Linked DNA regions of Saccharomyces cerevisiae S288C. Changing the gene in region 1 together with any one later gene gives a genetic interaction. Each region holds a gene or a part of one and is shown on either strand. Other genes may lie near its edges.

Evidence for each region. Genes that interact genetically often act in the same process or in processes that back each other up.
Region 2: mutations in AUR1 (region 1) and MSN4 impair growth when combined (synthetic growth defect), as found in Saccharomyces cerevisiae (one study listed by BioGRID).

What each region holds. Positions count from the first base shown.
Region 1 is NC_001143.9:433,810-437,638, forward strand, and holds AUR1 (inositol phosphorylceramide synthase), read left to right. Parts: upstream 1-1,770; coding exon 1,771-2,976; downstream 2,977-3,829. Other genes in the region: BYE1 (Bye1p), read right to left, coding at 1-1,068; mitochondrial 37S ribosomal protein bS6m MRP17, read right to left, coding at 3,288-3,683. UniProt on the Saccharomyces cerevisiae protein: Catalytic component of the inositol phosphorylceramide synthase which catalyzes the addition of a phosphorylinositol group onto ceramide to form inositol phosphorylceramide, an essential step in sphingolipid biosynthesis.
Region 2 is NC_001143.9:320,292-325,620, forward strand, and holds MSN4 (stress-responsive transcriptional activator MSN4), read left to right. Parts: upstream 1-2,936; coding exon 2,937-4,829; downstream 4,830-5,329. Other genes in the region: putative Mg(2+) transporter MNR2, read left to right, coding at 1-382; YKL063C (uncharacterized protein), read right to left, coding at 724-1,227. UniProt on the Saccharomyces cerevisiae protein: Positive transcriptional factor that acts as a component of the stress responsive system. Recognizes and binds to the stress response element (STRE) which is involved in the response to various forms of stress (heat, oxidative, osmotic, etc.).

The DNA of each region.
Region 1 (3,829 bases):
ATCCCTTTTCTCTTTAAATTCTTGTAAGTCAGGATTTGCGAGTTCAGATGCGTTCATGTTCACCAGTTTATTTAAAGGCAATTTGCCCTCGACAACGTGTGCCTTCAGTTCCAAATTTTTTTTATCCTTTAAATTAGAGTATAACGACCTCACTTTCTCTGTGTATATCTTGTCCAAAGTACCAAACTCGACGTTAAGGCAAGCTTTGTAAAGTTCTTCTTCCAGATTGTGCGCAAACTCTTGCGATATCGATATAACGTCTTTCCCATCAGGAAGCTCATAAAGTTTTGCCTCAATTGTTTCGGGAACGATGAATTTGCTAAATAAGGTAGAGAACATTTTTTCTGCATTATACCTCAGTTTGTGTTCTTTTTCGCTTTCAAAATCTTTCCTAGTAGGCATTTCGTTTTCGGCAGTATCAGACTTGGCGGCATCAATGCTTTTATTCCTTTTTTTTGACCCATTGGATTTCTTCACCTGTTTGGATTTGATATGAATTCCTTTGGCACTATCGGGGCTCCTTTTTCGTTTCCTAGGGCTTTCCTCATCAAGAAAGACATCTGCATCATTGTCATCATGGTCATTTACGGGCTTGTAAACATCATCATGGTAATCTTCATCCTCTGAAACCTCTGCCTCCTTTGACGTTTCCAAATGTGCATACAATGATGGGTCGCACAATTCACAGTAGTACTTAGAATCTTCACTCATTAGCCCATCTATGGTGTCTTTACCATCAGTCATACATTTAATATGCTGCCAAGTGTCACAGCCATCGCACTGTACCATGTCGCCATGCGAATATTCTGCAGCATCGTAGTTTTCATTGTTCGCCCCACACAGACATCTAACATAGCCCTCATCCGCTTCGTCTACTTCGTCTGTTCTTACATTTTCAGTATCTTTCCTTGGCTCCTGAGAAGAATCAGACTTCTTATTCTTCTCTATGGCTGAATCAACTTTCTTTTTAGTTCTTTTTTTCTTTGGTGCTTCAGTCTCCTCCTGTAACAAATACTCAATATATTTATTCTGACCCTTATTAGATCTTGAAGAAGTACGGACAGACATAATAAATTTAAACTAAATAAAAGCTAAAAGTAAAAGAGAACCTAGGATAATCGATAGCTCCCTGTGTATAGAACAAGTCAAAATACTAAGATCTCGTCAACCTATCCTCTTTCATTGCAAGCCTTTTGGCCAAACTGCAGTCTGGGCATCCCTTTGCATGTCTTGTGAAATAGTATCCATCTCTCCCCAGCTCCCAGAAATGATATGAAAAGTTATTCGTGAAGAGTGATCCTAAAACTGAAAAAAGGAAAAAACAAAAATGAGCTAAAAAAACCACAACAAAAGAATATCAACTTCATTGCTTGGCGGGTCATCGCTTTTTTATTTCTTTCTGTCAAAGAATAATAAAGTGCCCATCAGTGTTCATATTTGTTACAAAGTGGTTTTCTGATTTGGTACTACTGCAGAGGCGTATTTTTTGCTTCAGTTACCATAGCGTAAGAACACTAGCGACTTTTGTTCGTGAACCAACAGAGTAGGATTTCTACTGCTACATCTCTTAGGTAGTTGGTTAGTCCGATCGCTCACTTTTGGTTGTTGTTAAGTACTTCATAAGTTTATCCTTTTCCTTTTTCACACTGAGCTACTTTGGGTATAGCTTTTGGCCCAAGGATCTTTGAATTTTCTCCAAAAGTACTTTATTTTATATCCTACAGGTTGCGGTTTTCATATTTTAAAAAGCTTTTAATCATTCCTTTGCGTATGGCAAACCCTTTTTCGAGATGGTTTCTATCAGAGAGACCTCCAAACTGCCATGTAGCCGATTTAGAAACAAGTTTAGATCCCCATCAAACGTTGTTGAAGGTGCAAAAATACAAACCCGCTTTAAGCGACTGGGTGCATTACATCTTCTTGGGATCCATCATGCTGTTTGTGTTCATTACTAATCCCGCACCTTGGATCTTCAAGATCCTTTTTTATTGTTTCTTGGGCACTTTATTCATCATTCCAGCTACGTCACAGTTTTTCTTCAATGCCTTGCCCATCCTAACATGGGTGGCGCTGTATTTCACTTCATCGTACTTTCCAGATGACCGCAGGCCTCCTATTACTGTCAAAGTGTTACCAGCGGTGGAAACAATTTTATACGGCGACAATTTAAGTGATATTCTTGCAACATCGACGAATTCCTTTTTGGACATTTTAGCATGGTTACCGTACGGACTATTTCATTTTGGGGCCCCATTTGTCGTTGCTGCCATCTTATTCGTATTTGGTCCACCAACTGTTTTGCAAGGTTATGCTTTTGCATTTGGTTATATGAACCTGTTTGGTGTTATCATGCAAAATGTCTTTCCAGCCGCTCCCCCATGGTATAAAATTCTCTATGGATTGCAATCAGCCAACTATGATATGCATGGCTCGCCTGGTGGATTAGCTAGAATTGATAAGCTACTCGGTATTAATATGTATACTACAGCTTTTTCAAATTCCTCCGTCATTTTCGGTGCTTTTCCTTCACTGCATTCCGGGTGTGCTACTATGGAAGCCCTGTTTTTCTGTTATTGTTTTCCAAAATTGAAGCCCTTGTTTATTGCTTATGTTTGCTGGTTATGGTGGTCAACTATGTATCTGACACACCATTATTTTGTAGACCTTATGGCAGGTTCTGTGCTGTCATACGTTATTTTCCAGTACACAAAGTACACACATTTACCAATTGTAGATACATCTCTTTTTTGCAGATGGTCATACACTTCAATTGAGAAATACGATATATCAAAGAGTGATCCATTGGCTGCAGATTCAAACGATATCGAAAGTGTCCCTTTGTCCAACTTGGAACTTGACTTTGATCTTAATATGACTGATGAACCCAGTGTAAGCCCTTCGTTATTTGATGGATCTACTTCTGTTTCTCGTTCGTCCGCCACGTCTATAACGTCACTAGGTGTAAAGAGGGCTTAATGAGTATTTTATCTGCAATTACGGATACGGTTGGTCTTATGTAGATACATATAAATATATATCTTTTTCTTTCTTTTTCTTAGTCAGGATTGTCGTTTAGCATAATATACATGTAGTTTATTTAATCACATACCACTGATTATCTTTAGAATTTTATAAATTTTTGAAATAAATGGGTGGCTTTTAATGGTGTCTATGTTAAGTGAGGCTTTTAGAATGCTCTTCCTGCTTTGTTTATTATATGTGTATGAAAGATATGTATGTATTTACATGTGTTTGTAGCGTCCCCAGTCAAAACCTGTGCGCTATACCTAAATGGATTGATAATCTTCATTCACTAATTCTAAAATAGACTTCTTCCCCAAAGAACGGTGTAACGATGAGGCTCTATCCAGCTGCTTATCTAAATCAACTTTAACGATGGATGATCTTATGACACGGGGATCTTTCTTTAAAGTTCTTAGAATTTCAGACTGTACCGCAGCTGATGAATCAAACAGCATTAAAAAGTGATATGCTCGAAAATGTTTTTCCTGGTCTTTCTTCATTATTTTAGGAAGATACCTTATGCCCATGGGTACAATGTCCCTCACCACACCTCTGTTTTGAATAATCAGTTTCCCGATTGTGGAAGACAATTCTTTTGCTTCCAACTTTGGCGCATTGGAGTTGGTTATGCGAACAAGTCCGATCAGCTCATAAAGCATCTTAGTGAAAAGGGTGGTTTTGCGTTATTCTTTCCTCTGTTGAAGCTTTTCTATTTTGTTTAAGCTGAACTAGTGGGAGTTTCCATTAAAAGGCTAAAGTCTTGTTGAAACTTTTCCGGGTTAGATGATAACTGCGAAAAGATAGA
Region 2 (5,329 bases), 110 kb from region 1:
AAGGTATAATGAGCAATGGGAAGCTTCGCCACAATCTGAAATCGCAATGTATTTGGGTGATATTCAAGATCATATTGTAACCATGGTCTCATCGCTAAACCATTATGAAAAACTGTTAAGTAGATCGCATTCAAATTATCTGGCACAAATCAACATTGATATGACGAAGGTTAATAATGACATGAACGACGTTTTGGGAAAAATTACCATACTGGGTACTATTGTTCTGCCAATGAATGTGATTACGGGTCTGTGGGGTATGAATGTTATCGTGCCCGGACAATACAGGGATTCGTTGACATGGTTTATAGGCATTGTGCTTTTTATGTGTATGCTAGCATGTTCTGCATATATGTATACTAAGAGAAGATTCGGGTTTTAATTTAAGTGTTTTTTCGCGCATTAGCGCTTGCTTTTCCTTCGATTTTAATTATCAGCCTAAATTATTGTTGTCTTTCCCGAAGGATAGAATTGTAAATTATCAGCGCCGTATCGTATACTTGTGGTGATAAATATCTTTAATCTATTTATGTTTTTTTTTTTTTTTTTTTTCGTGTCTGGTTTCTACATGTTTGTGAACGTTCTGCATATCTTTATGTACGTACACAGTATGTTAGTATGCACTTATACTATACAAAGAATAAGGGAGGTGAGGTTAATCAATAAGGTTAACGTAAAACATTTATTATTTTCATCACCAAACTGTTGGAAGTTTTGAATTGGTTAATTATCAAGGATTTCATTGTTAGCCAAATTTTCCTTGGCGAGATCTTGTTTCTCTTTCTGGAGTTGCTGTTTTTGTTCTTTTTTGTCCTTGTTTATTTGTTTTTGCTTTTCTGAATCAATTTGTGGTTTCAAATCGTTCTCCAAATTCTTTACTTCTTGTTGCTTTGCGACTTCATTATTGAACTTTTCTTTAGGTACTTTAGCTTGTTGTGGTTGCTTATTGTTAGTCGCATCAGCTGCACCGCCGGCTGCAATATTGGTATGATCGCTTGCACTTGCAGAAACATCAGAAGAATGGCTTTCTAGCTTGATCTCAGTTTCTTTATTCAGATCAGAATAGGCAACTTTTATAACGAAATAAACGCCACATAACAGTATAATGTATACTATAATCTTTTTCATAGGGGTAGTCAGATAACCGCCCCTTCTTCTGGAATTATATTTGCTTCCTGTTTTATAACGAGGTAAAAGATCTTTTTTCCTTCTGATATCGCCCTGCATATTTTCTATAATTATGAATCACTTTAGTTTGATTTATATTTGCTCAGAATACCCTAGCTTTATCTATATAGTACTACTACTTTGGAGGGGAGGAACGTATGTTGGAAGGCAATAGCACTCTGGTAAAGTGCTAACTCTTAATGTTAATGACGAAATCACTTTTTTTGCCTTTCTGAAAGATTGGAAGACTGTCACTGAGAAATTCGCTATTCTTTTCTTTTTCTTCGTGTTTTTTTTTGTTAGAATACTGCACAGCTTGCTATCCCGCTGCACAGCTTGCTATCCCGCTGCACAACATGAAATTGCTCACGTCGTGCCAAATTACATATAGGTGCTTACCCTGTTTATATTTTTTGCCTTCATAGCGGAGTTTTTAAGGGTAGCCCTTATGTTTTTAGCGTTCATTTGAACGAATGGCTAACGCTAAACGGAGAAGAGAGGAAAACAAGGCCGCTGGCGTTATTGCGCGTAAAAACAGGAGATAAGCACTGTTTAACATACATTTCATTGAAAGCTTAAAGCCGCAAAAGATGAAGGGTTTTCAAAATTTTCATCTCTTGCAGTATAAGGATGCAGTGAATCTATCTACAGACAGTTGATAAAAACGTCTACCTTGCCTAGTGTACCCAGCTGCTGTCAACTTCTTTCCTTAGCGCGTAAAGAGCTATGTTTTCGATAAAAGATGCAACATAAATGCTACGATGTAAGGCACCCAGGACCTCTGAAGGCAAAGAAGTTGTGAAATTTGAAAAATAATCGCTCAAAAAGGAATAATTGTCAAGCGTAACGATTTTTTTGATTTTCCGAAATCAGGGGAGGGGAAAAGAAAAGGGGAAGGGGTCTCCTCACAGGTATTGTGAGCTCCAAGCAATCATTTTGCCAGCACTAGGAAATAATAAAATGAAAGAAAAAAACATACATAGAAAGTGCCGCTCCGGGGCATTTTGAGCGCGGCAAAAAAAGCCCGAAGATCCGTTCCTCGAAGGAACGGCAACCGCACACCAAGAAAAAGGGAAAAAGGTGGGGTTGGCTGTAAAGTACGAGCGCGGGGACGGATCCGTAACAATTTCTATGTGGGGCCAGCAGCCGGCTGCTGGTGGGTACTGTTGTACGAAGCGGTTGGTAGCGATGACAGTGGCCAGGGCTGCTAGGCATGGTGCCGTGAAAACCCAGCGCAAATGTCAGGCTGCAGGAACCGGCTTTCTCCCACGAGGTTTCACTGCTGGCGGCGTACTGGTCATTTTTAGAACCTGAAAACCCGAGCTAGAACTAGGACTCTTGAGCAATAAGGTTTGCGCATTGCTATTCTCCGGATAAACCAAACCCACCCTTTTAAGAGCGTTTAACAAAGGTCTCTTATCTATCAAAAGTATTATGGCTATTTCTGGGATTCCGCTTGCGGGCCTTTCTACCCTCTTGATGCTACACATGTTTCCCTTAGATGCATGAGCATACCTGTAGGTACTTAAATTTTATTTTTATGCATCTTATTTCTGTCTAAATTTGTATATAACAAGCAACTGCAGTTCTGTGATGTGTTTTTCGCAACTGGTCAACAGGCTTAAGAATTTTTCCGTCTCTTTCCGTTTTATTTCCAGAGAATTAACATTTATAGAGAAAAGAATTAAAACGTGAAATTTCCTTTTTGAATATTTAACGCCTTTATCAGTTCGGCTTTTTTTTCTTTTCTTCTTATTAAAAACAATATAATGCTAGTCTTCGGACCTAATAGTAGTTTCGTTCGTCACGCAAACAAGAAACAAGAAGATTCGTCTATAATGAACGAGCCAAACGGATTGATGGACCCGGTATTGAGCACAACCAACGTTTCTGCTACTTCTTCTAATGACAATTCTGCGAACAATAGCATATCTTCGCCGGAATATACCTTTGGTCAATTCTCAATGGATTCTCCGCATAGAACGGACGCCACTAATACTCCAATTTTAACAGCGACAACTAATACGACTGCTAATAATAGTTTAATGAATTTAAAGGATACCGCCAGTTTAGCTACCAACTGGAAGTGGAAAAATTCCAATAACGCACAGTTCGTGAATGACGGTGAGAAACAAAGCAGTAATGCTAATGGTAAGAAAAATGGTGGTGATAAGATATATAGTTCAGTAGCCACCCCTCAAGCTTTAAATGACGAATTGAAAAACTTGGAGCAACTAGAAAAGGTATTTTCTCCAATGAATCCTATCAATGACAGTCATTTTAATGAAAATATAGAATTATCGCCACACCAACATGCAACTTCTCCCAAGACAAACCTTCTTGAGGCAGAACCTTCAATATATTCCAATTTGTTTCTAGATGCTAGGTTACCAAACAACGCCAACAGTACAACAGGATTGAACGACAATGATTATAATCTAGACGATACCAATAATGATAATACTAATAGCATGCAATCAATCTTAGAGGATTTTGTATCTTCAGAAGAAGCATTGAAGTTCATGCCGGACGCTGGTCGCGACGCAAGAAGATACAGCGAGGTGGTTACCTCTTCCTTTCCTTCTATGACGGATTCTAGAAATTCGATCTCTCATTCGATAGAGTTTTGGAATCTCAATCACAAAAATAGTAGCAACAGTAAACCCACTCAACAAATTATCCCTGAAGGTACTGCCACTACTGAGAGGCGTGGATCAACCATTTCACCTACTACCACTATAAACAACTCTAATCCAAACTTCAAATTATTAGATCATGACGTTTCTCAAGCTCTGAGCGGTTATAGTATGGATTTTTCTAAGGACTCTGGTATAACAAAGCCAAAAAGCATTTCCTCTTCTTTAAATCGCATCTCCCATAGCAGTAGCACCACAAGGCAACAGCGTGCCTCTTTGCCCTTAATTCATGATATTGAATCTTTTGCAAATGATTCGGTGATGGCAAATCCTCTGTCTGATTCCGCATCATTTCTTTCAGAAGAAAATGAAGACGATGCTTTTGGTGCGCTAAATTACAATAGCTTAGATGCAACCACAATGTCGGCATTCGACAATAACGTAGACCCCTTCAACATTCTCAAGTCATCTCCGGCTCAGGATCAACAGTTTATCAAACCCTCTATGATGTTGTCGGATAATGCCTCTGCTGCCGCTAAATTGGCGACTTCTGGTGTTGATAATATCACACCTACACCAGCTTTCCAAAGAAGAAGCTATGATATCTCGATGAACTCTTCGTTCAAAATACTTCCTACTAGTCAAGCTCACCATGCAGCTCAACATCATCAACAACAACCTACTAAACAGGCAACGGTAAGCCCAAACACAAGAAGAAGAAAGTCGTCAAGTGTTACTTTAAGTCCAACTATTTCTCATAACAACAACAATGGTAAGGTTCCTGTCCAACCTCGGAAAAGGAAATCTATTACTACCATTGACCCCAACAACTACGATAAAAATAAACCTTTCAAGTGTAAAGACTGTGAGAAGGCATTCAGACGCAGTGAGCACTTGAAAAGGCATATAAGATCCGTTCATTCAACGGAACGCCCTTTTGCTTGTATGTTCTGTGAGAAAAAATTCAGTAGAAGTGACAATTTATCACAACATCTAAAAACTCACAAAAAGCACGGTGATTTTTGAAAAAAATAAGGTCAAAAGCAAATAAAAGCAAGACAAGCTACGGTATGACAAGTTTTCGGAGAAATAATATTCTTTCTTCCTCAGTTTACAAAACAAGTAGGTTGGTCATTTCATTCGGATATATTCTAAGGAATGAAATGAACATTGGTGTTTGTTTCTAATATAATCTTAAGATATTTTAAATTGTTTCTTTCCTTTTTTGCCTTTCTAACTATTACTTCAACTTCTTTTCCGTATATTTCCGTTTTTTCCATTTGGCAGATTAAAAAAATTGTGCACGTTCTGGTTTTAACGTATAGACTTCTAATATATTTCTCCATACTTGGTATTTTTTATTCACTTTTTTTATACATATTTGGTTTTTTTATACAATATCAAAAATCAATAATAATTAATTTAATAACAAGAATATGTTGCTGTGATGACTCTTAATATACAATTGGGAAGCATTCAAGGATTGGTACGACGTTTGCTTTCTGATAATTAAACGCTTGGCGTTT